Saccharomyces cerevisiae S288C: one gene and its partners. The gene in region 3 interacts genetically with the main gene of each other region. Each region holds a gene or a part of one and is shown on either strand. Other genes may lie near its edges. The genes, in order: NPR1, ACS1, MET22 and DUS3.

Region 1 (8,124 bases), on a different chromosome or scaffold from region 3:
TATTATATGGCAAACTGTTGACTTGGTATCAGCGTCCAATGATGATCCTAAGCCTTTATGTATCCTTCACGATCATACTCTACCCGTGACAGATTTCCAAGTTTCTTCTAGTCAAGGAAAATTTTTATCATGTACTGATACGAAACTCTTCACAGTATCTCAAGATGCTACCATTAGATGCTATGATTTGAGTTTAATAGGCAGCAAAAAGAAGCAGAAGGCAAACGAAAATGACGTTAGTATTGGTAAGACCCCAGTATTGCTTGCGACATTTACAACTCCTTATTCTATCAAATCCATTGTACTGGATCCTGCTGACAGAGCATGCTATATTGGTACTGCGGAAGGTTGTTTTTCATTGAATTTATTTTATAAACTAAAGGGTAATGCTATCGTTAATCTGCTACAGTCCGCCGGAGTAAACACAGTTCAAAAAGGTAGGGTTTTTTCCCTAGTGCAACGTAACTCACTAACTGGCGGCGAAAATGAAGATTTGGATGCACTATATGCAATGGGCCAACTTGTCTGTGAGAATGTCCTAAATTCAAATGTGTCATGCCTAGAAATATCAATGGATGGTACATTATTATTGATCGGTGATACGGAGGGGAAAGTTTCTATTGCGGAAATTTACTCAAAACAAATCATTAGAACTATCCAAACTTTAACTACATCACAGGATTCAGTTGGAGAAGTGACCAATCTCTTAACCAACCCTTACAGACTCGAACGTGGAAATTTACTTTTTGAAGGAGAATCCAAAGGCAAACAACCTAGTAATAATAATGGTCACAATTTTATGAAGATACCAAACTTACAAAGAGTTATCTTTGATGGTAAAAACAAAGGCCATTTACACGATATTTGGTATCAGATAGGAGAACCAGAAGCAGAGACAGATCCTAACCTCGCATTACCACTTAACGACTTTAATGCCTATTTGGAGCAGGTCAAAACGCAAGAATCGATATTTTCACATATCGGTAAGGTGTCAAGCAATGTAAAAGTGATTGACAATAAAATCGACGCCACTTCATCTTTAGACAGCAATGCCGCTAAAGATGAGGAAATTACAGAACTTAAGACCAACATAGAAGCATTAACTCATGCCTACAAGGAGTTACGTGACATGCACGAAAAGCTGTACGAGGAACACCAACAGATGCTTGACAAGCAATAAACGGAATAGTCGCGCATTTTGTACAATAAAATAGGAATGTTATTAAAATATACAGCATAGATAGATATAATTCATCACTTGTGCGAAACATCTCATTCTCAATCTGACTGATCATCTATTACGGAATTTTTTCGTTATCAATGACGCATCCCACAATTCCTACCCTTATAGCTTATCTCAGAATATGGGCCGCCTTTAGTTGTATAGAGTTAGTACGGATTAGTCAGTGGCGTACCTAGTGGCAACAATCGGCAGTGACTAAAAATCTTGCTTTTGTTATTGAAAGAATAATAAACAGGAGTTCTCGTTCCTTTGCGTCATTTTCAACCCCATACAAACTAGTTGGCTTGTACCAGAACTCATTAATACTTTTGTCTAACTCTTTCCTATTTCTGATTTTCCAACAGCTCATACCCATTCAAACAAAAAAGGAAAGCTCTACGAAACATTATGTCTTCATTAACTCGATTGCTACAGGAAAAACGAAAAAATGAAACTTCGAACTCATCACCGAGAACTTCTGCTGATACGTTGACCACGACGCCCGAGTCACAATCGCTTGACCTTCACTCTAGGAATAAGAGTAGTAGTCATATTGGTAGCGTGAGTAATAGCAGCAGTAGTGATCGTAATAGGGCTAACGTGCCAGTTCCTGGCAGTGTCACAACTGTTACTCAAATATACTCAGAGGAAGATTCATCATCAACAGCCGGTTCCTCTCTCGACGATAGGAATCAGTTTTCCTCCAGCTTCCTTAATGCAAACTTTGCTCACACTGCATCATTCTACGGCACAAGTGCACAAAGTAGAGATAGATTTGGATCCTTAATAAACGATCAAGGTACTGCAGGACTTTCCTCACATGGTGGTTCTTTTGCTGCACAGAACAGAATCACAAGTAGATTATCTACCACGTCACATACTTCAGGAAGGGCCATTCCTTCTTTATCATCAAGTATACCTTACTCCGTGCCAAATTCTAACAAAGATAACAATAGCTCGAATAGCAACAGCTCCTCTTTGTCTTCTTCGTGGCTCGAAACATATGCAGGCGGTATGCCCAATAATATTTCTGCAATCGATTCAAATGTTATATCCTCCCCAAAAGTAGATAGCGTGGAACCACGTTTTGTTATCTCCAAACAAAAACTCCAAAAAGCATCGATGGATAGTAATAATGCAAATGCCACTCAATCAAGATCTATATCCCGTTCAGGTTCATTCTCTTCACAGCTTGGGAATTTTTTCTTTTCCAAAAACTCAAAAGAATCTTCAAATTCTAACTCTGCAGGCATGTCTTTTTCTGCCAATTCCAATGGTCCTTCTCCAAACATTAAGAATCCCAATGTTACCAATGGTTCGACGCCTATCCCGAAGCCTATCCGCGCAAGACAAAGCAGCATATATTCTGCATCAAGACAGCCAACTGGTTCCTATACTGATAACTTTTACGGTTCCCCCTCATCTGTACATGACCACTTACCTCCAAGTCAAAGTGTTCCAAGGTCACAACATTCTTCCATCGGTGATTTAAAGAGGTTCTTCAAAAAAAGTTCTAACAGTAACCTTTCCTCGAATAGTAACAACGTGATCCCGAACGGATCACCTCTTTCTAGCGGAATTGCCGTTCCGTCACACTCTCATTCATCGTCTCATTTTGCCGCAGGGAATAACTCATATTCCACTAGTTATAACGGAAATGGAGATACTATTTATTCTCATAGTCACGGCGGTTCAGGAATTCCGTTCTCAAAAAGGTACATCAAAACCGGTGCCGATTTAGGCGCTGGAGCAGGAGGTTCTGTCAAATTAGCTCAAAGAATTTCAGATAACAAAATATTTGCAGTGAAGGAGTTTAGAACTAAATTTGAAAATGAATCCAAAAGAGATTATGTCAAGAAAATTACATCAGAATACTGTATTGGTACAACTTTGAATCATCCCAATATCATTGAAACAATTGAAATCGTGTATGAAAATGATAGAATTCTCCAAGTTATGGAATATTGTGAATACGATTTATTTGCTATTGTAATGAGTAATAAAATGTCCTATGAAGAGATTTGTTGTTGCTTCAAACAAATACTTACTGGTGTACAATATTTGCATAGTATCGGCTTAGCTCATAGAGATCTAAAGCTAGATAATTGTGTTATAAACGAAAAAGGTATTGTAAAATTAATCGATTTTGGTGCTGCTGTGGTATTTTCATATCCATTCTCAAAAAATCTTGTGGAAGCAAGTGGAATTGTTGGAAGTGATCCATATTTAGCACCTGAAGTCTGTATATTTGCGAAGTATGACCCACGTCCCGTAGATATTTGGTCTTCTGCAATCATTTTTGCATGTATGATACTGAAGAAATTTCCATGGAAAATTCCGAAATTAAGGGACAATTCATTCAAACTATTTTGTTCCGGACGTGATTGCGACTCCTTAAGTAGCTTGGTTACAAGAACTCCTGATCCACCTTCCTACGATGAATCGCACTCAACAGAAAAGAAAAAACCCGAAAGCTCTTCCAATAATGTATCAGATCCTAATAATGTTAATATCGGGCCACAAAGATTGTTGCACTCATTACCAGAAGAGACTCAGCATATTGTTGGACGTATGATTGATTTGGCGCCCGCATGCAGAGGAAATATCGAAGAAATCATGGAAGATCCTTGGATCCGTAGCATTGATATGTGCCACTTGGTTGAAGATGGATTATCGTTCAAAGTGGTTAGAGGAGAAGACCATCATCACACACAAGTGGATCAAAGTGAAGCACATATTGCAGGCCTAGAAAAGAAAAAGAAAAAGCAAAATAATCAATAAATAAGCGTCCCCACTTTTATTTCTTTTCCAAGCATTTGTATATAACCTTTTTTTATCCTATTTGAGTATATGTTAAAATACAATGTCATATTTACTTCTGTTAAACTAATTTCATATTTTACCGTTCTATAGAAGCCTAAATAGATTGACCTCCTGTTCATAATCTACTATTTTATCAGAAAAATGTAAAAGCTTAGTATGATAATAATTAATGGAAAAGTTCGTTAAAATATCGCGCCACTAATTAATAATAATGAAGCGGGTAACATTAATTGTCTTACCAAGGCGACAATTCCCTTTTCTAAAATTTCACAGCAAAGAAGCTTTAGAAAGTGCAGTAAATCTACAACTCATAAGAAGGAAAAAAAGCGTGAACATTCAAATCGACAGCGTAACCTTCTGTATTTATTTCTGTTTGTTGTACTTTCGAACTCTCGAATACCATAGAGGAACTATTAGTCTCCATAATGTCACAGGCAGCAAAAAACGTGATAGTAAAGCTAATAGTAGGAGCAGGCCAAGCGGCACCATCACCTCCCGTGGGGCCCGCATTGGGCTCCAAGGGTATAAAAGCCATTGACTTTTGTAAGGAATTTAATGCAAGATCAGCAAACTATCAGCCAGGTGTACCGGTTCCAGTATTAATCACAATAAAACCTGATAGAACATTTACGTTTGAAATGAAATCTCCACCAACCGGATATTTGCTGCTAAAAGCTCTTAAAATGGACAAGGGACATGGACAACCGAATGTGGGGACAATGTTAGGCAGTGCACCTGCCAAGGGACCAACCCGTGCTTTAGGAGAGTTATCGCTGAAGCACGTTTACGAAATAGCCAAGATAAAAAAGAGTGATGAAAGGCATAGTTTATTGGAGATGGAAGGTATTGTTAAATCAATAGTTGGCGTTGCAAAAAGTATGGGTATTAAGGTTGTACCTTGATCTGTAAGTAGTGAAAAGACAAAAAAGTACCGTCAATTTCGAGAAATTTTCAACAGACCTTCCTTCTTCTTTCTACTGATCTATTCTGTAAATATGTATATAAGTTTTAAATTCTCTTTCTCCCGTTATGTTAGCAAAGCTCGGTAGTACTGAAGCTATTCTGAGTAAACGCTTCTCCAACTCTGTATACTGAGAGTTGTTTTATAAGTCAATAAAGACCGGATATTTATATGTATATATTGATTTGGTATAATAAAAATGAAATGCTAATAAAAATGCCTATGAAAAGAGGAAAATCCAGGAATATCGAGTTTTTTCATTTGGTGAACTTCCTTTTTTTATTTTTTTTCCATTTTTTTCTGTTATTTTTCTTGCTATTAATCTTCAATGGGCGGTTATTTGGTTCGTTAACAGCCTGTTCCTGTTTGGATTTAGAGGTAACATTACCAGTGGCCATGGCAGATTTCGCCAATGGCAATGGAACCGATTTTGGAGTTAGCCTCGTGTATAGGAGATAATATGCGTTGGGTTCCTTTAAAACGTCCCTTTCAGATATTATATTAATATACTCGTCGTCGTAAGTGGCCCAGCTACCGTCTGGTTGCTTGCAGTGGGCAATGTAGTGACCTGAAGAAAGGGAGCGGCCCTCATGAACCACCACGCTTAATAGTTGGTATTTGACAGGTAGCTCTTTACTCTCACAATATTCCGTCAAATCTAAAAACATAGGATAAGAAACAGCTTGCTTCATTTTTGATGAGGACGTGCCATTGAATCTGAATTTTTTCAGATGCACAAGTAAAGTTTCAGGAGCCCTTAATATTGAACTATGCTTCACGGCGTTCGTGGTCTTGTGACACTTCTCACAAACGTAACCCTTTTGCTCCTTGTCAACCTTGATTAATTCGGGATTGAAGAAATCTTTAATTGATTTTTCAATAGAAAATCTGCGGTTGGCTGAACTTAAATCACTGGCAGCGGCAAATGGTGAGCCATTGTTTAAATTGACAGATGAAGAGGATGAAAGAGATGGTTTTGTGGCAGCATTGGAGGTAGTGGTAGAAGTGGTGGCTGAAGTGCCGTTAATGCTATCACTCGACAGGTCAGAATTTGGATCAAGTTTTTTCTTCCCTTTCAAGTGCAACGATAAATCGTAAAATGGTTGTTCTGTTTTAGATATACTGCCACAAGATTTGCAAGTAACGATCTGCTTTAAAAGACCACCGAATATGTCATATATTATCGATTCTATAAGTTTATGACCCTTGGGAACAGAATCTTCCTGTAATCTTGACATCAGAGACATGAAGTACTCATGTGAATCTTCCTGCTGCCATTCGCTCATCATACAATTAATGTCATCCAATCTGGAAATCAAATGTTTTGGATTAATGTAGGAAGCTGAAACGTTCTTTCTAGGGTTTTTTGAGACCGGTAACCACATTTTTTTACTTGTTTCAGCTAAAGTATAGGAAACGGAATTTTTTGAGATGGTGCTATCGTATTTCCCCATTAGTATATCAAAAAGATAATGTTGTATCGAAGGAATGTGTAACATAGCCTGTACAGCAGCATTTGTGTAACAAGTAACACCATGATTCAAAAGGCCACGAGGCTTCAAATTGGTGAATTTGTCGCCCCAATTTTTAACAATTCTAGTAGAGTTTAAAGAACCACGATCATTGATATTTTCATTGAATTGGTAAAAGTTTGATAGATTTGATATTGTAACCGGAGGGGTGATTGACCTAGATTTATGTTTCAGCTCTTCTTCCTCTTCTTCCTCCTCCTCTCCCTTTGGATTCCTGTTTCCATTTTCTTTGGTGTTGTTTACTGGTTCGTACCGATTTACTTCCACTGTACTATTTTCCATTAAATCTTGATATAAACTCTTTTTTTCGCCTTCAGAAATTTTGGAGCTGGAATCGTTCTCCTCTTCTTCAGGGAGCTCTTTTTCCATAGCACTAGAATCATAATCCATGTCATCCTCATCCTCGTCGTCTTCTATTTCGTCATCACTGCTAATGCTTGTAGACAGTTCCTTTCTTTTTTCCTTTTCATTCTCATTAGATGAATCATCAATGGTTGCTAATGGAGAACCCAAGTTTTCACCAATGTCTTCACCAATGTCTTCACCGATGTCTTCACCGATGTCTTCACCGATGTCTTCGCCGATGTCTTCACCATCGCCCTTATCTGCGTTGTCGCGTTCCTTCAAACTAGCTTTTCGGGGTTCTACATAGTCTCTTGCCTCATGAAATATTTCACCCTCTTCCTCTTCCTCTTTTCCTACTTTGTCATCTTCCGAAGAAGAGGAAGGAGGCTCCGTAGAAAGCTCCGTAGAAAGCTCCGCTGACTTCTTGGCACCAGTAGCATCTGCAGCATCTTTATCATTTTTAGAAGTATACAACAATAAAGCTTCAGCCATAGATTTAGGAACAGTGTTGGTTTTCTTTCCGTTTGGCCTGTCTATCAAGTTATTTTCTTTTATTTGCTTGGATTCGGCCGTTGCAGCAATAGCTGTGCTATTACTATTGTTATTATGCTGTTTTCCTATCACAATATACGAGCTATTTTCCGGCGCGGCGGAAGTATCATTATTATTCGATTTGTTAGAGATCATTGCAGCATTGAACTGCAGGGGATTTGATAGGATTCTATCTACCAAAGGTTTGATCGATTCTTGAGTGGTCATAGTCTGTGATTGTGATATGACAATAGGACGGATTTACAGATACTATGAGTTGTAGATTCTTTCCGTTAGTTTTTCTATGAAATATTATGTGCAGTACAGAACAAAAGAGGCTTCAGACACTATGCATGCTCCTGTGTGCAGTATATGATGCTTAATAGCTTCTATGAAACAAATAAAGGACAGAAGCGGGGATGGAAGACTCTGTTAATGCTTTACAGGGAAGTTTTTCCCGATGGTGGCACTATATAAAAATAAGAACTTTTTTCTTTTCTTTTGGGGATTTTTTTCGATGCGAAAAAAATTTTTTGACGGCATGAGGCAAGAAGTGAACAAAAGAGGTGGTGTCTGGGGGATGCAATTTAACTTCTTACTTGTGCGCGTTCATCGGAGAAAGCTGGCCGGGTGATACACGAATACGGGTTTGCCGTTTTTAGCCGCCGAACCTGCATAATGAAATTGTGCCCCCATGAGATAGGGCGAAC
Region 2 (8,080 bases), on a different chromosome or scaffold from region 3:
TCGATACAAGGACTGCCCATAAAGTGGGAGGAGTACGCCGCTGATGAAGTGGTTTTGCTGGTACCTACGAGCCACACTGATGGATCAATGAAACAAGCCATTGGGGATGCCTTTCGCAAGACGAAAAACGAACACAAAATCATATATTGCGATAGCATGGATGGATTATGGTCATGTGTAAGACGGCTAGGTAAATTTCAGTGCATATTGAACTCCAGGGACTTCACAAGTAGTGGTGGTAGCGATGCAGCAGTCGTTCCTGAAGATATAGGCAGGTTTGTCAAATTTGTTGTTGATAGCGATGTAGAGGATGTGCTGATTGACACTTTATGCAATTAATGTAGAAAAGAGTTTCTTGTAACAGTATGTAAAGAATAAATAATTATAAGTATAAATAAAAAGAGAAGGTGAAATAATAATAAGTAAGCAGCTCGGTTATAAGAGAACAAAAACACACGAAAAAAAAAAAGTCGTCAATATAAAAAGGAAAGAAATCATCATTACAACTTGACCGAATCAATTAGATGTCTAACAATGCCAGGGTTTGACAATGTAGAAACGTCGCCTAGTTGGTCACTTTCTCCTGCTAGGATTTTTCTTAAAATACGTCTCATAATTTTGCCGGATCTTGTCTTGGGCAAGTCATCCACTAAAATGATCAATTTTGGTGCGGCAAATGGCCCGATGTCTTTTCTAACAGTAAAGACCAAATGCTTCTTGATATCTTGTAATTCATCATCTGTTGCGGTGGACCAACTAGATTTGTTTTTCAACACCACAAATGCAGCAACTGCTTGACCAGTCAAGTCATCGTTGAATCCGACAACAGCACACTCGGCCACAATTGGATCTTCGATAATAGCAGCCTCAATTTCAGCGGTAGACAGACGGTGACCAGAGACGTTCACCACATCGTCTACACGACCCAAAATCCAGATATAACCATCCTTATCCTTTGCAGCACCATCACCAGTGAAATAGTAGCCAGGGTAAGGGTTCAAATAAGTGTCTAGATACCTATCATGATTTTTCCAAATAGTTCTTGCAAATGATGGCCATGCAGCTTTGACGGCAAGGACACCCTCTGCGTGGCTGGTGTTAAGTTCTTCACCAGTGTTAGGGTCAAGAACAACTGCATCAATACCGAAGAAGGGGAATGAGGCAGAACCCGGTTTCATTGGTGTAACACCACCAGCCAGCGGGGTGACCAGATGCGAACCAGATTCTGTTTGCCAGTAGGTGTCTACAATGGGGATTTCATTTTTACCTATTTTTTCAGAGTACCACTCCCAAACTTCAGCAGCAATTGGCTCACCGACCGAACCCAAGCAACGCAAAGATTTTAAGGAATGATTTTCGATGTAGGAATCACCAGCTCTTTTCAACAAACGCAAAGCAGTTGGCGCAACATAAAATTGGGTGACTTTGTGTTCATCAATAATATCCCAATAACGGGAGTAATTTGGGTACGCAGGAGTCCCTTCAAAGACCAAAGTGGCACAACCATATAGTAAGGGACCATAAACCACATAAGTGTGGCCTGTAATCCAGCCAATGTCTCCAGCTGTGAAGAAAACGTCTTCTTGGTGAGTGTCAAAAGTGTAGCGCATGGTCAACAAAGCTCCCAGCAAGTAACCTGCGGTAGAATGTTGAACACCCTTGGGGGCACCAGTAGAACCAGACGTATACAACAAGAATAATGGATCCTCAGAATCAACGGGTGTGCATGGATAGTAGGTCTTGTATTTCTTCTTTTCTGTTGCCCAATCCAAATCTCTGGGGGCATGGAAAGCAACAGATGGATTGTTGGTCTTTCTATAAACCAAGACGTGTCTCACGCCTGGGGTCTCTCTTAGCGCGTCATCAACAATTCTTTTAGTCTCAATGACTTTACCACCTCTGTTGGATTCATCTGTAGTGATGACAACTTTAGAGTCCCCATCGTTGATACGATCTCTCAAGGAGTTGGAAGAAAACCCGGCAAAGACTACGGAGTGAATGGCACCGATACGGGAAATGGCCAACAAGGTTATGATTGCTTCTGGGACCATAGGCATGTACACGGCAACAGTATCGCCCTTGCGAACGCCCATAGAGTAAGTCAGCACTTGTGCCACTTGACAAACTTCTTCAAGTAGTTCCTTGTAGGTAATGGAATAGCCTTGGCCAGGCTCGTCACCTTCGAAAATAATGGCTTTCTTGTTAGGAGTCTTCAAGGCATGTCTGTCAACACAGTTGTAACAGGCGTTTAATTGGCCGTTGAGGAACCATGCATTGTTCTGGAAGGAGGGCCTGCCCGTTTTAGGGTCTGGGATGAACACCTTATCGAATGGCTTAGACCAGTTTAAAAATTGGGTAGCTTTAGAACCGAAGAACTTAGCAGGGTCTTCAATAGACTCCTTGTGCAAGCGCTGATAGTCCTGCAACCCGTCCAAGTGTGGAGAATAGTGGGTAGCAATTGCGGGCTGCAGTCTATCTGAGATGGGCCGTTGTGGCACGATCTTGACCGAAGTCAAATGTTCATACTCATGTTCCTTCTTCTGCTGCGCAGTGGCGGCAGACTGGGACATTTTTGCTTTCAACTTGTCAATTTCACTTGACTGTTCTTCTAGTTTTGATGATTGTACGGCAGAGGGCGACATAGCACAGTGGGCAATGTCTTTCTAGTAGTTTTGATATGTTTGGTTTTGCTTATAGATAGAAAATATAAGAACAAGATATAACGTACTACCAGATAACCTAAGGGAGAAATATGCTTAGAATAGCCGCCCAGTTTATATACAAAATGAAGGGAGAACTATTTGCCACCGAGGAACTGTACCCCAACTGCAATACCCATTGAATAATGGCATCGGAGGCTCGGCGGCAATTCGTACCCCAACCTTTTTTTTTTACTTTTCTTTGGATCTTAGAGATAACAGAAAAAAAGGATGACCCCAATCATTTGCCACGGCATGTCAACAGGTGAGTGCCTTTTGAGGGGGGGGGGTCATCTCGACATCCGGCGAAATGGAGCAGTCACACGTGAACATTTTTAGGGGATGGAGAGTGCTACGCCGTTCGTCCGAGATGATTATCATATTTACACAGCCGTACATACACGTGCCATTTATCTTGATATCATTCTGGACGTATGTGCACATGTGATTTGCTTTTGTTTTTTTAAGAATGTCGGGTAATAAACAGATTGTTTTTCTGGGAGGATAATCTTTTCTTTTTTCCTGTTGGTATTCTAAAATTAACCTTGCTGTTTCTTTTTTTTTTTTTTTTCGCGCGACTACTCAGCCATCTTGCATTTTTAAAGAAAAAGATAATCATTAATGCCTTCACGGGAATACGTATAGAACATTATTAAAAGTATATGAATGGCATATATATATAGAACACCACCCTTGGAAAACATTTATACCCCTTAAACTAAAACAATTTGCTGCGCTATACCGTGTTTCAGTGTATTATAATACATTCATTTCTGTTTCATTACGATTATATTGACGTGATAAAAAGATTATATAGCCATGATCTTCCTAAACACCTTCGCAAGGTGCCTTTTAACGTGTTTCGTACTGTGCAGCGGTACAGCACGTTCCTCTGACACAAACGACACTACTCCGGCGTCTGCAAAGCATTTGCAGACCACTTCTTTATTGACGTGTATGGACAATTCGCAATTAACGGCATCATTCTTTGATGTGAAATTTTACCCCGATAATAATACTGTTATCTTTGATATTGACGCTACGACGACGCTTAATGGGAACGTCACTGTGAAGGCTGAGCTGCTTACTTACGGACTGAAAGTCCTGGATAAGACTTTTGATTTATGTTCCTTGGGCCAAGTATCGCTTTGCCCCCTAAGTGCTGGGCGTATTGATGTCATGTCCACACAGGTGATCGAATCATCCATTACCAAGCAATTTCCCGGCATTGCTTACACCATTCCAGATTTGGACGCACAAGTACGTGTGGTGGCATACGCTCAGAATGACACGGAATTCGAAACTCCGCTGGCTTGTGTCCAGGCTATCTTGAGTAACGGGAAGACAGTGCAAACAAAGTATGCGGCCTGGCCCATTGCCGCTATCTCAGGTGTCGGTGTACTTACCTCAGGGTTTGTGTCTGTGATCGGTTACTCAGCCACTGCTGCTCACATTGCGTCCAACTCCATCTCATTGTTCATATACTTCCAAAATCTAGCTATCACTGCAATGATGGGTGTCTCAAGGGTTCCACCCATTGCTGCCGCGTGGACGCAGAATTTCCAATGGTCCATGGGTATCATCAATACAAACTTCATGCAAAAGATTTTTGATTGGTACGTACAGGCCACTAATGGTGTCTCAAATGTTGTGGTAGCTAACAAGGACGTCTTGTCCATTAGTGTGCAAAAACGTGCTATCTCTATGGCATCGTCTAGTGATTACAATTTTGACACCATTTTAGACGATTCGAATCTGTACACCACTTCTGAGAAGGATCCAAGCAATTACTCAGCCAAGATTCTCGTGTTAAGAGGTATAGAAAGAGTTGCTTATTTGGCTAATATTGAGCTATCTAATTTCTTTTTGACCGGTATTGTGTTTTTTCTATTCTTCCTATTTGTAGTTGTCGTCTCTTTGATTTTCTTTAAGGCGCTATTGGAAGTTCTTACAAGAGCAAGAATATTGAAAGAGACTTCCAATTTCTTCCAATATAGGAAGAACTGGGGGAGTATTATCAAAGGCACCCTTTTCAGATTATCTATCATCGCCTTCCCTCAAGTTTCTCTTCTGGCGATTTGGGAATTTACTCAGGTCAACTCTCCAGCGATTGTTGTTGATGCGGTAGTAATATTACTGATCATCACGGGACTTCTGGTTTATGGAACTATAAGGGTTTTCATCAAGGGAAGAGAGTCTCTCAGATTATACAAGAATCCTGCGTACCTACTTTACAGTGATACCTACTTCTTGAACAAGTTTGGGTTCTTATACGTTCAATTCAAAGCAGATAAGTTTTGGTGGCTTTTACCCTTATTAAGTTATGCGTTCTTAAGATCCCTGTTTGTTGCCGTTTTACAAAACCAAGGTAAGGCTCAAGCAATGATCATCTTTGTCATTGAACTAGCTTACTTCGTTTGTCTCTGTTGGATAAGACCATATTTGGACAAGAGAACTAATGTTTTCAATATTGCTATTCATTTGGTGAATTTGATCAATGCATTTTTCTTTTTGTTTTTCAGTAATTTGTTCAAGCAACCAGCAGTGGTTTCGTCAGTGATGGCGGTTATTCTGTTCGTTTTGAACGCGGTGTTTGCTCTATTCCTATTATTGTTCACTATTGTCACCTGTACACTGGCATTACTACACAGAAACCCAGATGTCCGTTACCAACCAATGAAAGATGACCGTGTGTCATTCATTCCTAAGATTCAAAATGATTTCGATGGCAAAAACAAAAATGATTCTGAACTGTTTGAATTGAGAAAAGCTGTTATGGACACCAATGAAAATGAGGAAGAAAAAATGTTCCGTGACGACACTTTCGGCAAGAACCTGAATGCAAACACAAATACAGCAAGACTCTTTGATGATGAGACTAGTTCATCCTCTTTTAAGCAAAATTCCTCTCCCTTCGATGCCTCGGAAGTAACGGAGCAACCTGTGCAACCAACCTCCGCTGTCATGGGTACGGGTGGCAGCTTCTTGTCTCCACAGTACCAACGTGCGTCATCTGCTTCTCGTACTAATCTAGCGCCGAATAATACAAGCACCTCCAGTTTAATGAAGCCTGAATCAAGTCTCTACCTGGGGAATTCCAATAAATCATATTCGCATTTTAACAACAACGGCAGCAACGAAAACGCCCGCAACAACAACCCATATTTGTAATCCAATATATACTCACATGTAACAACTTATTATATAAATATTTAAGGGCAAGGATATCCTACATTATATTTCATAGAAAACCGCTCAAAAAGGTGTATTATCTCCATTACATCCCAACACCACACATATTTCAGCGATAAAAACCTTAAATGTGAAATTCGCTTTGGCTCTGCTTCCTTAAATGTACGCAATTGCCGCTTTTTTCTGACATCTTTTTTGACGTGTAGAGAAGGAAACAGATCCTCCAGAAGGGATTTACTGTTGGCTATTTTGTGTTAGAAGCAGGTTAATAATAGATTAGGTTGCGTAAGTCATGGTCGAAAATAGTACGCAGAAGGCCCCACATGCCGGAAATGATGATAATAGCTCTACCAAGCCATATTCGGAGGCGTTTTTCTTAGGGTTCAATAACCCAACGCCTGGATTAGAAGCTGAGCACTCAAGCACATCGCCTGCCCCCGAGAACTCCGAAACACATAATAGGAAAAGAAATAGAATATTGTTTGTCTGCCAGGCTTGTAGGAAGTCAAAAACAAAGTGTGATAGAGAAAAACCTGAATGTGGTCGATGCGTCAAGCATGGGTTAAAATGTGTTTATGACGTATCAAAACAGCCAGCACCACGAATTCCGAGTAAAGACGCCATTATATCAAGGTTGGAAAAAGATATGTTTTATTGGAAAGATAAAGCTATGAAGCTACTAACAGAGAGAGAGGTGAATGAATCAGGCAAGAGATCAGCAAGTCCGATCAATACAAACAATGCTAGCGGGGACAGTCCTGATACCAAGAAGCAGCATAAAATGGAACCTATATATGAACAAAGTGGTAACGGGGATATAAACAATGGTACCAGAAATGATATTGAAATCAACTTGTATAGAAGTCATCCAACCATGATCATGAGTAAAGTCATGAAAAGAGAAGTTAAGCCGTTATCTGAAAATTATATTATAATTCAGGACTGTTTTCTAAAAATCCTGGTCACTTCAGTGTTCCTTGACACTTCAAAGAACACGATGATACCGGCATTGACGGCAAACGCGAATATTACAAGAGCCCAGCCTAGCGTAGCAAATAACCTTTTGAAATTGAAGGAAATGCTAATCAGACAGTGTCAAACCGAAGATGAAAAAAATCGTGTAAACGAATTCACTGATAGAATACTACAAAATACAAATTCAAATAGAAACTTGAAAATCGGTATGCTATTATCAATGCTTTACAATTCTGTCGGTTACCAATATCTGGAGGATCATTGCCCTCAAGGTGGCGAATATTCGGATTTATTGAGAAATTTGATCAATGAATGTGAAGCTATTTTGCCATCTTACGAAATTATTGAACGCTACAAGAACCACTTTTATGAGTACGTTTATCCAAGTCTACCTTTCATCGAATTAGAAATTTTTGAAGAATCATTAAGTCAAACAATTTTTCCGGACCCAAACAACCCCTCCAAGGTGCAAATACGTATGGGTAGCACACATTTGAGAGCTAAGGTGGAAAACTTGAGTCTTCTATTGGTTATCTTGAAACTCTCATACATGTCAATAAGGTTTTTAGATCATAGTACAGCAGACTCGAGTTTTTATCTTTCAAAGGAAATAATTGATAAATACCCAATACCGAACGATTTTATTTTATTGAGTCAAAGATGTCTAGCATCGGAAAATTGGTGTGCATGCGCTAATGAAAACATCATATCATGTTTACTATATATCTGGTCTTTTTTTGCTTTTTCTCCTGAAGAGGGTGATTTCTTTCTCGAGCACCCCACCGATGTTATCAGTAGTTTGATAATGATGCTTTCCACCTCGATTGGTCTCCACAGAGATCCTTCAGATTTCCCTCAATTGATTTCCCCGTCCACCTCAGATAAAAGAACCTTGAATCACAGAAGAATACTCTGGTTGAGTATCGTTACCGTTTGTTCGTTTGAAGCAAGTCTCAAAGGTAGACATTCTGTCTCACCGATATCTTTAATGGCCTTATTCCTAAATATTAAGGATCCTGATTCTCTGACGGTATATATGAACCGAGTTAGGGGCGATCTAAGCGATATCAATAATCACAAACTTTTGAGAATTCATAAATTTACATTCAAGAGAGCCCAGCTTGCGTTACTCCTGTCGGACTTAGATAACTTGACGATGACATACTATGGTAGTTTCCATTTGCATTCAATTGAATTCATAAGAGAAAAGATTG
Region 3 (7,262 bases):
ATCACTTTACAGGATTTTTAATAGTAAATATAATAGTAAAGAACCTAATATCCAATAATGTACATTCTTAGTAACTAGCCAACCGCAGTACCCGATGACTGCGTCACCAATTTGTCCAATCAGGCCAGAGCTCCATGATAAAGGATACTTTTCGATATGTAAGGATAACGGCACTGGCGTCCCTGTAGACCTTGGTAATCTTACGGTAAGATTAACGGGTTGATGATCGCTAAATAATAGAGCATTGGACCTAGGGACGGAATGGTAAGTACCTTCTTGTGCGAAAGTTGGCACTGCATAGCTTTTGTAGAGAATCCTATCGCACCACGACGGGATTCTTTTTGTATTATATGTTTCCTTTTCAAACAACTTGAATTTGTATGTCGGTGGAAATGTTATCTTCAGCTCCTGAAAACCTTTGCATAACGGTTCATCCTCTCCTTTACGTAGCAGATTTAGTTCTTCATGATTTTCTAATAGACGCCTTAACGTTGTGGTGGACGAATAATTGGTAGTTGGATCATAAGTACTAGTAACCCTAAAATTCAAATCGCCTAGAAAGAAAAAGTGGTCGCTTTTTGCAACCTCAGAATCACACACTTCACTCATTATTCGTTTGTAATCATCTATTCTTTGATTTCTATTGTTGACACCTTCATTTGCATTTAAATGAGCACAAATATAGCTAAATCTTTCCCAGTTCTCCTCGCCATTGCGTGTCATCTGAAAACTTATCAAAGTTCCACCTTTCAAGTGTGTACCAAACCAACCGCATTTCCCATTCCGTTTCAAAATATCATCTTTTACCTTTAGCGCATTATTATTGTATAATACTATTATGGTAATCGCCCCAAGACTATTCACCCCTAAACATGAATACTGCTCATCCCCTTGTGTAGCTGACACTTTTTCATTCAGACAATTAACCGCAGTAGTTGTAATTCTATCGATTAAATCACGATTAACAGCAGGGAAGGAGCCTTGCCATATGGGGACTACTTCTTGGAACCCCAACACATATAGATCTTGCAATTCCAATTGGGAGATGCCGTCATCGTAGGGGAAAAGCAATTGCTTAACGATTGCTTTCGAATTTTCAACGGGAAATTCCTTACCACAATTGAATGTAGTTACAGATACCTTCCAATTCGTTTTGTTCATTCGGTCAGAATCCTGCTGTATTTTCTTGTCTCACTTTTCTTCTTTGTTAGCCTACTCTTACCTCTTCAGTTTTGTTCTTTTCACTGTATTTTCCTTTTTTCACGCTATAACAACAATAAAAAAAGGTTATCATTTAACTGGTATGTACATACACATACACACATATATATATGTACTCATATATTTATGTCTATCAATAAAGTAAAATATATGTTATTTAGGCGTTTCTTGACTGAATGACATCGCATGATGTAGACACCACCAAGTCATGTAACTCGCGTGGGCCACTTGACGCTATAACTCCCTTCGTAGCTAGCGTTCTACCGTTACCGAAGTCTAGAGGAACATCTTCCATGGCATCTGTATGGATACCTCCAGCTTCATGGACAATAACGTTGCCTGCAGCATGGTCCCAGATCTTTTCTTGGTAAGAAAGTTTGATAGGCAGACGTAAATATACGTCTGCTAAGCCCAATGCTAACAAACAGTACTTGGCTTGAGAATCCAAGTGCAAAGATTTGGATATATTTAGTTTGTTTTTGATAGCAGTTTGTTCATCATGAGAGGAGTGTCCCTTTTCAACTCCCTCTAAAGTAATCATGTCTTTAGTGTCTTTTAAGTGTCTAACGTGGATTTTGGTCCATGACTCTGCATCTGAAGATGGAGAATAGAAGGCACCTAAACCTCTAACAGCACGAAAGATATAACCAAATGACTCATGGCCTTTCAAATCTTGGGCCCCATAAGAACTTAAAACTAAGTTGGGGCATCCAATACAACCAAGCTGAACAACACCGTCCACAATTAAGGCCAGACATACTGCAAACTGTTCACCTCTTAAAAACCCCTTGGTTCCGTCAATAGGATCCAAACACCAAAATCTTCCTTTTCTACCACCTTCGTAATTGCCGAAATCGATGATTTGCCTGACGTCCTCCAAAGATTTTAGCGGAAACTGATCGTTTGTAAACAGAAAATCATCCTTTTTATAATTCTTGTTATAAACTTCGTCATTGGCTTTTATTTCGTTTAAAATTCCTGAGACGAATGCGTCGCTCAATCCTGATGAGGATTCTTCACCAACTACCTTATCATCAGGAAAATTGCTCTTGATAGCATTTATGATGATCGTTTGTGCAGCATAATCACCTGTGGTTACTGGAGAATTATCATTCTTGGTAATAGTAGTGGAGTCCTTGTGAGAAATCACTTCAGATTGAATTCTCTTAGTCAATAAAGACGCCTTTCGTACAGCTTGAGTTGCAACCAATAATTCTCTTTCCAATGCCATAGTAAAGTGCTGATGTCTTCTGAGTTGTCTTTAAACTTCTTACTTACTAACTAATAAATTAAAGAGAAGTGCAAACGTTCTTTATATGTGGCATGGTTTCTTCTTTGCAAACTGAAAGTAAAATCGCAACACGTGATATTGCTCGTCTGAGTCATTCGCGCATTTCAATGAAGGAAGGATTATTATATAGATGGCTATGTAAATGTCAAAATATGCTATTGTTGAGTTGTTCCATGCTCAGTTGTGATCTTGAATGCCCTCAAGGAGCCTCTTGATGCTACGTATAAGGTAGCATATCCCTTACGTTTTAACTCTTCACTGTCAGATGCATAAGTGTAATCTAGTCCGCAAATATCACCCATGGGGAAATAGACGTCGCACACGCCGCAGTATGTGTCCGAGCTCTCTCCATCTGCACCATACATTGGTGCGTCAAACAAGTTCCTGTTACATCTGCACTCTGGACTAGGGTTAACAGGGTCTTGGACTTCCCATCCAAGAATATACTCTTGTCTAAACGAATAGATGCCTCTGTACTCTGTTAGTCTTAGTAATGAAATGAGACCCAATTGTGAAGCCACGGCTATGCAATTTAGTTCTTTGATGTGACACACAAAATTTATTCTGTTTAGTGCTTGGAGCAGCGACTTGGAAGCACACGTCACAACACCATCTAAGGGAAAAATCTCATGATGAGTTGCTGATATAATTATGAGTGGATTTGCTTTCATCAACACCAGCCTATGGGCTGTGGTTAGGAAGAAGAACTCGTCGTGCATTTCGGATAGTTGATACCCAAGAGGCGAATCTTCTGAGCCCGGTACTGCTGACTCTAATAACCGCTTGACGTTTCTTACATAGTTGTGGAACCCCCAAGATTTCTGCGATTCTGATTTCAAGTGAGCACGCTGTTCAGTATCCCTATATCTTCGCTGGAAACTTGTTAAGCTGCTACCAGATTCTTCATTTTCAGGGTCGCTATTGACATCGTCCTCTTCTGTAGAGTTCAGTTGAAGGCTACAAATTTCTGGGTCCTTCAAGACCGTGTTCAAATCCTTGCCAAAAAGTGTTCTCCAATCGGCAGCGGCATCGGTGTTGTACCATAAAAAGTTTCCCGATTCAATATTTGGTATATGATTTACTGAACTTAGCGATTTGAACTCTTTTGAAGTTCGTAGTTGTCTTTGTTTATCCATTTTCAAATTACGAATACTTCTATTAAATTCGCGAGATATATCTTCAATATCATTTTCGAGATCAGTAAGTTTATAAGTAGACGGCTCACAGATCTTTCTCCCAGAAGTGTTTTGATATTGCGATGTTTTATTTCTTCCACTAGGAGTTATCAACTGTGGAAAAGTATTAATAATATCCTTGTATTTCGAAAATCCACGCTCAGTAGCACGATAATGTTTATAACCAGAATCCTCCCAAAATGTCCATTGGTGTAAATGCTGTTCACATGAGGTGTTTTTTGTCACTGCATCATTCATATCGTCTAAGTCACCGGCATGTAAAATAAGTGCAAAATCCTCTCTGCTGTACTCGTATTTTATCGAGCCCGTTGTAGTGTAATTTCTATCAAATGAGGTAAATCTTAATGGTATAACTTCATCGGGGATCCCTGCTGAAGAAGTCAGTCGTAGGTCTGTGACAGGAACCTGAAATTGATTGAGTAATGTACCAATACCGAAATTCCCAGAGAGGTAGGCGTTATCACAGTAATACCCAAGTAAAAAATCATCTCGGCAAATAGAATATAACATGCTTTCTTTGAAACCGTCTTGGTAGTTAAGATTCAACAATTCGAAATTGTCAACTTTCGCAAAATCCTTCTTAGTCAGTGGAGTTATTGTCCATAAGTCGTCGCCAAAAAATTGAGTATCAAGGAAACTCGTTAAAATGGTACAATCATGCTCCTTTAATTTAACGGTAACAACATTCCCAAATATAGAACAATAACTTAATGTAATATATCCAACAGAATCTTTTGAATTAGGAACAAAGTTAACACAAGGAACATTGTGAGATGAGGGAAGATCTAGAGGCCGAATGTACCGTCTTTCCTTCTTTACATCTTTATCGAATGCAAAGACTGTAACTCCAGGCTTGTTATGGCCAACAGCGATATATATGATGCCATTTATATCTATTACATCAACACTCCAACAAGATTCCTCTACTCTTAACACCATATATGGATCAACATTTATGTATCTTTCCCGGCTGTTATCTTTGCCTCCCAAGATATCCGAAGTAAATTTATTAAATATCTTAATAACTTTGTTGATTTCCCAGATATAAACGATTCCGTTGTCACCGCAAGCTAGTAGAAAATCTTGATGCATGAAGTTACAAATCTTCATAAAGTTGATAGAACATAGTTCAGGTATGCTGTTGAACTGTGTATCCTTAAATTTCACATATGATGAATTGCGGAAGTTTCTTACATCTCCGTCATCTGGTATTATCACGGGCAATAAGGCGTGACATATTTCTAATGACGAAACGTTCAATAGTATATCGAAATTATGAACTTCGACGCATTGACCGGCAGCCAGGAAGGAATAACTCCCATAAGTGACGAACAAATTGTTCTTGAACTGCAAACCACCATAAGCAAACCTATTTGTGTATTGAAAAGGTGCGAACTCTAGTGGTATCTCTTGAACAAGTAGTTTTTCGTCCTGTGGCAATAGTAATTCAGCTGGATTCAAAAGCCTTGATGGTCCCCAGACGGGTTCTAAGTTGGAAAATGCAGATTTAGTATCCTCCAAGAAGGCTTTCTTGAATGAGTAAGCAGGATTTGGGATTTTCCATGAAGAGTCATGTTCTTCTAGGTTGTGTAATCGTTCTTTAATAAACTCCACGGTTTTTGGATGAAACGAATTGCAACTGGAGTTTGGCCACTTGAGTTGATAATATTTCTTTAACGTTATTATCTCATTCGTTATATTCCAGCCACCAGACGCCAGAAATACTTCTGAGTCAAAGCACTCTCTTGTCGATACTGCCCTTTGTATGATGGCCCGAGACTTAAGCCACCTTGTAAAGAGATCATCATTTTCATTGGGAATCTGAGGGGGCATTATATTCAAAACCAAATTTTCAAGCCTAGAAGTACCAGTGCCTCTTGATTGCGCTGTTGATCTTCATTACTATGGTGTTTTTGGTGTCTTGTATGGTTTTTCCATGTTTTTTCCCTGTTTTCTTTTCAATGAAAAACTAAATTGCATGTCTCTCATAATAGAAAATATTCAATATTAACAAAATGTGCATTCTAAAGGAAATTACTATAAAAAATACAGGCATGATAAAAATATATGTACACAAAAATTACGGGCTAGTACCTCACCTCGTAAGAACCGGCTTTCGATATATATTTAATCCATTTTACAGCACGATGCTTACTGTCTTTTCCAGAAATGGTAAAGTATCGTACGACTAAGCCAGAATTACTGAACATCATGACCTCGAATTCCAGGGATATTGGAGGTCTTGTCCATTGTTGAAGATTCAATTGAGTAGTATCACTTGTGGACACAGTAACTGCACTTAAAGTGTTTTCCGTCAACCCATTGTACTTGTTGAACCTCCAAATCATTGCATTTTCTTCTGGCACAAACTTACAGTGGCCATTAGAGACACTTATCTTACAATCCACAGTGCTTGGTGGAACGGGTATATGTAGTACCACATCTTTGGCGGAAAGTTTTCCAGGAAATAAAGACTTCAATGTTATCCTGTAATCAATCTCGTTATCTCTTGTAGAATGTGTAACAATAGGTGTAACCTTGAACGGCAGGTTTATGTTATCTCGTACATGATATTTCATCAACTCCATCGAACCGTCTGGTGGGACGAATTCAATGATATGATTTCTGTTAAATTTGTCAAGTGAGACACATTCGTGAAACTTGCAATCTTCCAACAAAACACTACCGGCAGCAGCTTTGGGAATGAAGTTCTTGTTTCCAAAATCGCTGCCAGAGTGACGCTGCTGCTGTGCTAACCATTTCTTCTCGTCTTCGGACTGCATTCCCAAAGAATCATTCAATCCAAATCTACAAATAGGGGTCCCACTCAAGTGTGTGGTGATATCTATGGTGCCATCAACGTATGATTTCAAGATAGAACCATCCCTAGATACCAGAATGTTTATCCTCTCATTGACATACAAGAAAACTTCATCCTTCTTGTGTATTATCCCCTTGGGCCTCCAAGTGATCTTATTGTTATCATAGAAATCAGAAGTGGAGTCTCCTTGACCCAGGAAACTACTGCTTCTTTTTGTCAAAAATTTGGGAAAATGTAGTTCTCCTGCTGAAGAAGTAGGAGATGAAGAGGAAGATAATACATCATTTCCATCGGGACTATCTAACAATCCGCCCATATTTCTAACGGGTTTCACAGACATCTGCGCTATAACAGAGTTCAATTCAGTGTCAATTGGTATCCCATTTCCACCCAACATTATATCCAGCATCTCATGCACAATCATGAATTCCTCTTTCAAGGCCTCCTCTCTATCCAATCGATAAGCATTCATCACTGCATCAAGCTTATATAAGAACTCCCAGATCGCCGCACTATTAGCGTTGCTTCTCGTAATGGTTACCAACCACAAATTGTCACCATGCCTCGACCTGATGTGATGGAAAGTAGTTGAGCCCAGTGTCAAAACAGGCGATCTAACATCTAGATTATTGATCACTTGTACTCGGAAGATATCGGATATGGACCGCTTCAACGAGTTCTTGAAGAACTTGTTCAAGACAAGTTCACCTCTCGATGAGTATACCAGCACACC
Region 4 (8,231 bases), on a different chromosome or scaffold from region 3:
TTATTTGGGAAGGAGCGACCCAGTAGGCTTAATTAAGGGACAAGAAAAACCCGCTTTGTTTAAATACTTCGCGACGACGCGCGACAAGCGACGACGGCCGACGTTGTGAGTTCACGGAGCAAGCCTGAAGTTGCTGCACACACAAAGTGCGCGGGGCTACTACAGCGGGGGCACGGGTGCATACATCTTCAAGAAGAAAAAGGTGCTGGGTAATACAAACACGAATCGACGTAAAACGTTATTGTACTTCCTTTCCGCGGCTAATAGCAACTGCAGCGTAGGAATAAATATGCCAAAAGTGTAAATCCAAGCGCCTGATACAAAGTAGATGTTGAATTGTTTTAAAAGACTTACTCAAGTACCAGGAAGGAGCTATGTGAACGGGATGTAATGAACTTTCCAGACACCCCAGTTTGCGAAATGCCTTTTTTCAGAGGCGACTTGCGAGATTCAAATCACTGCGCGTTTTCTAAATCCACCTGTATTTACCTGCTATTTGAGCCACTCAGGTACAGTTGCATCAGGTTGATAGTTATGTTCATTTGTGTTGCGATGATAACCTGTCCGAACTCGTTAAGATTTTCTCAATACACTTTTCTCCGCTCCTACCTAACCCTTCCCAGCTGTGCTTATTTTGATTTTCTTGGAACCCATACCTCACGTTTGAAATTGACACCCGTACATATTCCAATTCTCGTCTTGCAAAGGAAAAATAACCGCGCTTACCCATCAGATATGATTTATGATACATGTACACTTGATTTTCTATTTAGGAATCTCTGTTTGCATAAGAGCTGCTCTTATGTTTGGGGACAAATACAAAGTTCTCGTCGGTTTTACCGAAAAATAGATCACTTAGCTTGATCCAATCATTAACATCCGTACTACCCATTAGAGTTTCAAGTTCGTCTCTTCCACACCAGTTTGGCGGTCTCTCATTCAACTTCACAGGGTATCTTTCACAAATACCCATGGGGACATACCTATGAAAAAAGGACATGAACTCGCAGAAGAATCTACGACATTGAGAAATGCCGTATTCGTCGGTGCCCCAGTGTTCCATAGAGAACTGCGCATAATCCCTTAAAATGTCTAATCTTTCCGTACTTGTCTTGTCTAGATACTGCTGCGACTCAACCTCTTCAAAAATCCATGGTTTGATCAGGGCCCCTCGAGCAACCATAACACTATCAATATTTTCATTTCCGTTCAAATAGCGGTACCAGTCTTCAAAATTGTTGACATCACCATTTCCGACAAATTGAATTCTGTTCTTGGAATCCCTGCCTTCTTTGCCTTGTTCGGTTTCGATGAAATCCGCTTCGGCGGATCTCAAGGTGTCAGCCACTTGACTCACGTAGTCCCAATCCGCAGACTTAGTGTACCTTTGTTGCCTAGACCTACCGTGTAAGGTAATCGCAGCCACATCAGTTTCGTTAACCAGTCTTTTGACTAACCCTTCCGCGATAGGATGACCTTCCTTTGTACCTGTTCTGATCTTCACCGTGATAGGAATATCTTTCGATACGTAGTTCATCGCGTTTAAACAACGAATCATTCTTGCAGGGTTATCCAGCAGGGCGCTACCAGAACCTTGTCTGTATAGCAAATCGATGGGGCAGCCAGAGTTTAAGTTGATTTCACTTATTTCACTGACGGAGTTTGCGAGTGCTTCTGCAGCCTTTGCCGCCTGCCAGGCTTTAGAACAGGCCACTTGAACCCCGAACCCGGGGAACTCTGATGTGTGAGCTTTAGGTAACGCCCACTCAGAATTAGTTCCTTGAATTAAGGGAACTGCCAAGGCCATTTCCGAATATGTCACATCTGCACCTAACTTTCTCATTAGACGACGGTATGGTAAATTGCCTACGGTTGTCAATGGCGACACGATTTTTTTGTGGTACAAATCCAGTGGCTTTTTTTCTTGAGCAAAATAACGAGTGTCCTTGTACTTCAAGTATACTTCACGCTGTTTCATTCTATGTTCTGACAATTCTTTGTTCCTCTGTTCGACTTGGGGGGCAACTGGTTGTTCCACATCTGGGTCTTGTTTCTTCAGCTGTGGCGTTGACTCAACTTCTTCTTCTGGCTTCATGGAATCTCTACATTCTTGTTGGAAAGAGTCGATGATTTCCAATATTTCATTACTTTTTGTGAAAGGAAATCTTCTTTTTATAAGATCGAGTTTTCTTTCCGGTGAGATATGGTTTACCTCACCTTTAACGGACCATATTGTTTGCGCATCTGGATCAATCTCCTTCTTCGATATTAGGATATTATCTTCTTTATTCAGATGAGACGATAAAAATCTGCATTTGAATCCCATGGGGCAAAATCCCAACGAGTTGAAGACCGGACAGGAAGGAAATATATTACTTTCAACTTCAGGCTTTTTTGTTGAAAGGTACAGATTGATATCGTGAACAAACCTACAGTTATCACCAAAGGAGCATTTAGATATATCGCCATGGATCAAGCGTGGGCACAAGACATTCTGTTCCTTGACCTGCCTGTTATCTCTATTCTTGTTTTGCCCACGCTTCTTACCTCTTCCGTTCTTATTTTTCTTATTAGTCCCACCTGCAAACTCGTTTGTCATTCTGTCGGAAGACATCTCTTCATCATAGATGGCGACCTTCTGGTTTTCATTCTGCTTCAATGGTACAATATATTCTGGTTTGATATGTGCAATACCTTTGGACGGGGAAGTGTCTTGTCTCTTCACGGTTGAGTTGTCGTCGCCAACAATAGAGCGTTTTTCAGCGTTTTGCTCCATCAATAATGTTTAGAAGTTGCCTTTTTTTCCTATTCTGAGTTCATTAATGTTTCATTACTGCTCATCTCATCACTACACATTCGAACTAAATTCTTCATAACTTTAACTAGATCTTATGAAACTTTTCAAAAATGGTGCACGGGCTTTCTGTATATTGAACTTTCCGTCGCTTTTCGGAGCTACAATTCCCCTACCCGGCTTGTCGGCATTAAGTCTCTTCATCCCGTGTACTATTACCCGACAGGTTTCTGCGGCATGTTCTGTGGAACGACGGTACGGGCGGTGACTGGGTGCCAAACAGTGCGGCGTTCCCGTGCGCAAGGTGGTCTGCGGTAGGAAAAAGAAACAAAACGCGCCTACGTCGTGCAAGGGGACAGGATTTTGTCAGTTACATAATAAGGAGCAATTTCGAATCAATTGAAATTTGGAACAAATGGGCGATGCATTCGTTAAAAGGCGATTTTGTATCAAATAACGTCACTATCAGCCATTGTCACTTGCCACTGTCGCCTGCCACCGCTATTGCCATTATCATTTGCTTTCGCATCGTCACCGATTTAAAGCTCTCTAGGCTAACGTACGCATTTTACCTCCCAGGCCCTATCTCTTTTCTACCTGTCATCCCTATATAACGTCTTGTACATTCTAGTGGCTCCGTTAACAAGGTTTGACAAATATTACAATCAAAGAAGGATAGCGCTAGTCAATCTAATCATTAAGTTCGCTTATAAAGAGAAGGAAAGCTAGATTTTTTTTCTACTTCAATTACATATCGGTGCTTCTCTCTGGTGGTTTTCTGTTTTTCTAATATTGATCGATTTTACGGTGAGTTAAACTACTTCCTTTTATCGCAATATCATATTTAGAGCGAGAAAGCAAGAAGAATAAAGCTAGGAGAAAAAAGCGCCACGATACATTCATACTAAGTTTATAATATACCGGTCGTCTTTTGGCTTTCTGATACCATATTATATCCTCGAAACACTTTCTCTGGATTCACCTACTATTAATCACCTCAAGATTTCACTTGTAAGGCGTTTTCAAATTTATTGTTATTAAAAGACATATTCATATTCAGTATTTTTATTTTTCTTCGAAACAGGAAAAGCTTATCTGAGTATGGATTTTACAACAATGACTATGGCAAGCAATATGGCTACTAGTACTACTACGACGGCTACATCGGCACATGCATCTATAAATTCGTCATCAAACTTTAATATTGATATTGATTCGAACCAGAATACTCCTTCCATTTTGATAAATAACAATTCGGATTCTTCTAATGGAAAAAACACAGATTTTAACGGCGTCAATAATATTCACCAAAAAAATATCATGAATAATACAAATAATGTTCATTTGTACTCTCCAAATATAATGGACCAAACGCTACTAACTCCACAGGACATTGCCAAGTTACGGAGAGAATCAATAGCCCATTCTCAAGGGATGGGTGGTGTTTCATGGGGATCCATTAGTGTTGGTTCTTGGTTAAGAGATGAAATTATTAGCCGTAGAAATAGTATTGTACCTGCATCAGCAAACGGTGCTGCCTCCGCTGCCGCTTCTGCAACCACTACTGCCACTAATACTTTGCAGATTCAACAACCAACTAAGAGACCCTCTGTTAGTAATCCGCCTTACCATAGAGGGTATTCTATTTCTCCTCAGATAGCCTACACTGCTTATCTGCCAAATCTAGAAAAGCAATATTGTAAAGATTATTCATGCTGTGGTCTTTCCTTACCAGGTTTGCATGATTTGCTGAGACATTACGAAGAAGCTCATATATCCACGTCTCCTAACACTACCAATATGTCACAAATACCGATGAACTCTGCTGGTAACACTAGTTCATCAGTTCGTATGACAAATAATACCTCTTCTGCCAACTATAACCTGCAGAATAACATGGCCGCTAATACAAAAAATGCAGGTCATAAGACTAATACTATGCAGGCTCATAGCAGCAATGCAACTAATAACACCTCCATTAATAATATGCATGCCAATCTTCAGAGCAACATGGATTCCAACTCCACAATACGACAATCTCAGCATCCTCACCATCAGCAGAATATAATACAACAACAGTTGCAATCGAATTCTGTAAATCATACATCAGGGGCTGTACCCACACCGAGTGTAATGGGTTCAGCAACTGCGTCGTCCACAACTGCAAATCCAAATGTGATATCTATAACGGGTGCCCCCAACTCGGGCTTATCTATGGCTAATCACTCTCAACAACTACATCTGAATGGTAATCTAGTCGATGCCGTTTCAACGAATGATGTGTTTTTAAGAACGAGCAATTCTCCATCAAGACACGTTCCGCACAATAAACAAATTAACAGTAACAATAATAGTGGTATCAATATCAATAATAATACCTCACACAATTCTAATATTAACATGGGTAGTAAAAACGCCATGGTGAATCGTCCACATACTTTTAATAACTATTCCTTGAACAAAACGTCCAGGAATCCTATTCAACATCAATCAAGAAAAATTGATCCTCATCAAACCGATTTATCACCTCTGGTACTTGTCCAAGATATAGATTTAAGTTTTATGGATGATGATATTTTGGGCCCTAGTAACCACAATTCCATGAACTCTGTCGTAAATCCAACTACAGGTTCTCACAACTACAATACTTTTCATTCTTCCGTACACGCAAAATCTTCTCAAAACATGGTCGAGGATCAAGACATTGATGACATTGATGATGACGATGATGTTGATGATGACGATGACGATGACGATGACGATGACACAGAAAATGGCTCCAGTTCCAATGGAAAATCAGTTCATAACAACAATTACAAGATGCCTCAGCAAGCTTATATAGACGATCCTGCGAGAAGGCTCTATGTAATGGATCATGAGGAACAAAAACCCTTTAAGTGTCCAGTTATTGGTTGTGAAAAGACTTATAAAAACCAAAACGGTTTGAAGTACCATAGGTTGCACGGACATCAGAATCAAAAATTACATGAAAACCCTGACGGTACATTTAGCGTAATAGATCCAGATTCGACAGATTCTTTTGGTGATGGAATGGGCTCTGCAAAGGATAAACCATACCGTTGTGAAGTTTGTGGTAAGAGATATAAGAACTTGAACGGTTTAAAATATCACAGGGGCCACTCCACTCACTAAGATATAATTGTTTCTTTACTGAATTGATTTAGTATGCTATTTAGATACTAATTCTACCGTTACCGACTCATGCATCGAGCGGCCGCTCTTTCTCTTGTTGTTGGGCGCAATTTATGTGATCATCTTTGAACGAAAATGCATGATAAAGCTGTGCTCTTCGACTGTTACCATTAATTTCAAAAAATAAAAAGCATATCTATTATTGAAAAATGAACTTATAATAGAATAACATTTTCTTGTTTTGTCATCATTTCCTCTAAATACTCCGTCATGAAAACGATTTGCGCTCTGTCTGGTCTCTCCTTTTAGTATTATTGTTGTGTGTTTTTTACTATTCATTTTTTACTACTGTGTTTTTACTATATATATTTTGGCTTTACTTACTTCCTTCTGTTCTGATGTATTAAAAACTATTTTTATTCTAAGAAAAGAAACTTTAATTCTTCTTATTCATGCTCTAAATCTTAAATAAAAGGTTCCGTTTTTTATCTGCAATTCTGTGTATTTGTAAGTGAATTACCATGCACGTTGTCGGATCGTTTTTCTAGGCAGAAACTATCTTATTGAACCATTAAAAGATTACTTAAATATTACAATTAATCTTACGAAGCATATTAATTAGACTGGAATTACAGCGCAACTATCACAGGTTAATAATTGGTTGAGAAAATATTATAGTTTTGTTAGTAATGTTGAACTTTTATTTTATACACTTATGAAAGTAAATTAATTCAATATCAATAATAATATACTATAAGTAACTTAAAAAGCAACCTTCCTCCCAAACCTACAATCCAATCACGCTGATAAGTATTATCTAGAAAGTTGACAACACCAAGCCATATGGTCAAGAAACATTTATTGAGAGTTATTTTGTAAATAAGACTTTTCGTCATCCATATAAAGCAACCTAATTGTTCATCTAATACTAGAGTCGCTCTTTTGAAAGTTAAGTATAACTACCTCATCATTAGTTGCTACTATGTGTATAATTTGAAAATCTCAACGTAAGGTTATTAAAAATATAAATGCGCGTAAGACAGAAAAATAGAGACAGCTTACGGCAAATTATCAAAATGTGAATCCAAGGTTTCAAGAAAATAAGATAAAGTGAATAGGAAGGATGAAAATCAATGTATCCCGTCCATTACAGTTTTTACAATGGAGTTCATATATTGTTGTTGCATTTCTGATACAATTGCTAATCATTCTTCCTTTATCGATCTTAATATATCACGATTTTTACCTAAGACTATTACCTGCCGATTCCTCTAACGTAGTCCCCCTTAATACGTTCAACATTTTAAATGGCGTACAATTTGGTACAAAATTCTTCCAATCTATTAAAAGCATTCCGGTAGGTACAGATCTGCCGCAAACAATAGACAATGGCTTATCACAGTTAATCCCCATGCGTGACAACATGGAATACAAGCTCGATCTAAACCTACAGCTTTATTGCCAGAGCAAAACTGACCATTTAAATTTAGACAATTTGTTAATTGATGTTTACAGAGGTCCAGGCCCGCTATTGGGTGCTCCTGGAGGAAGTAACAGCAAAGATGAAAAAATCTTTCACACTTCTAGACCTATTGTCTGCCTCGCACTGACGGATTCCATGTCGCCTCAGGAGATCGAACAACTAGGCCCATCACGTCTAGACGTTTACGATGAAGAATGGCTAAATACAATAAGAATAGAGGACAAAATATCGTTAGAGTCTTCATATGAAACAATCTCGGTGTTCTTGAAAACGGAGATTGCCCAAAGAAATCTAATAATACATCCAGAAAGTGGGATTAAGTTTAGGATGAATTTTGAGCAGGGATTAAGAAACTTGATGCTTCGAAAAAGATTTTTATCTTATATTATTGGCATTTCAATTTTCCATTGCATAATATGTGTACTTTTTTTTATCACAGGTTGCACTGCATTCATTTTTGTTAGAAAGGGTCAGGAAAAATCCAAGAAACATAGCTGATAGAATTGTACTTCTCGCTATATAATTTTAAAACCTAGCTGTTATTTTCTAAGTAAGTAGGCTCTTCCAGCATTCTGCTTCTTCGCCCTGAATAAAAAAAAGATGATCAGCGAAAAAACTCAAAATGAAAATAAGAGATGGATTCTTCAAAGTTATAATTCATATGCAGAATAAAGATTCTAAAGAAAATGCACACAATGCATATTCCATCCGGTGATGTTCTGATACCGAAGCCGAAGCTTATTACTGAAGAAACAGATCCACTGCATATAATAAAGACGAGGCAAAAGACACATGGTCGGC

The links.
Region 1: mutations in MET22 (region 3) and NPR1 together harm fitness more than expected from each alone (negative genetic interaction), as found in Saccharomyces cerevisiae (2 studies listed by BioGRID).
Region 2: mutations in MET22 (region 3) and ACS1 together harm fitness more than expected from each alone (negative genetic interaction), as found in Saccharomyces cerevisiae (2 studies listed by BioGRID).
Region 4: of MET22 (region 3) and DUS3, a mutation in one rescues a mutant of the other (synthetic rescue), as found in Saccharomyces cerevisiae (one study listed by BioGRID).

Annotation. Positions count from the first base shown.
Region 1 is NC_001146.8:289,016-297,139, reverse strand, and holds NPR1 (serine/threonine protein kinase NPR1), read left to right. Parts: upstream 1-1,630; coding exon 1,631-4,003; downstream 4,004-8,124. Other genes in the region: chromatin-binding/pre-rRNA-processing protein IPI3, read left to right, coding at 1-1,180; YNL184C (uncharacterized protein), read left to right, coding at 4,257-4,583; mitochondrial 54S ribosomal protein uL11m MRPL19, read left to right, coding at 4,471-4,947; ubiquitin-specific protease UBP10, read right to left, coding at 5,264-7,642; SWT21 (Swt21p), read right to left, coding at 8,073-8,124. UniProt on the Saccharomyces cerevisiae protein: Nutrient-regulated protein kinase that promotes the activity of at least 6 distinct transport systems for nitrogenous nutrients under conditions of nitrogen catabolite derepression.
Region 2 is NC_001133.9:42,381-50,460, forward strand, and holds ACS1 (acetate--CoA ligase 1), read right to left. Parts: upstream 2,643-8,080; coding exon 501-2,642; downstream 1-500. Other genes in the region: ubiquitin-protein transferase activating protein PEX22, read left to right, coding at 1-339; flavin adenine dinucleotide transporter FLC2, read left to right, coding at 3,519-5,870; oleate-activated transcription factor OAF1, read left to right, coding at 6,184-8,080. UniProt on the Saccharomyces cerevisiae protein: Catalyzes the production of acetyl-CoA. Provides the acetyl-CoA source for histone acetylation in the nucleus. 'Aerobic' isozyme of acetyl-coenzyme A synthetase, which supports growth on nonfermentable carbon sources such as glycerol and ethanol.
Region 3 is NC_001147.6:204,725-211,986, forward strand, and holds MET22 (3'(2'),5'-bisphosphate nucleotidase), read right to left. Parts: upstream 2,453-7,262; coding exon 1,379-2,452; downstream 1-1,378. Other genes in the region: phosphoinositide 5-phosphatase INP54, read right to left, coding at 7-1,161; CRT10 (Crt10p), read right to left, coding at 2,668-5,541; APM4 (Apm4p), read right to left, coding at 5,796-7,262. UniProt on the Saccharomyces cerevisiae protein: Phosphatase that converts adenosine 3'-phosphate 5'-phosphosulfate (PAPS) to adenosine 5'-phosphosulfate (APS) and 3'(2')-phosphoadenosine 5'-phosphate (PAP) to AMP. May regulate the flux of sulfur in the sulfur-activation pathway by converting PAPS to APS.
Region 4 is NC_001144.5:921,673-929,903, forward strand, and holds DUS3 (tRNA dihydrouridine synthase DUS3), read right to left. Parts: upstream 2,777-8,231; coding exon 770-2,776; downstream 1-769. Other genes in the region: zinc-coordinating transcription factor SFP1, read left to right, coding at 3,896-5,947; SEI1 (seipin), read left to right, coding at 7,071-7,928; DUS4 (tRNA dihydrouridine synthase), read left to right, coding at 8,117-8,231.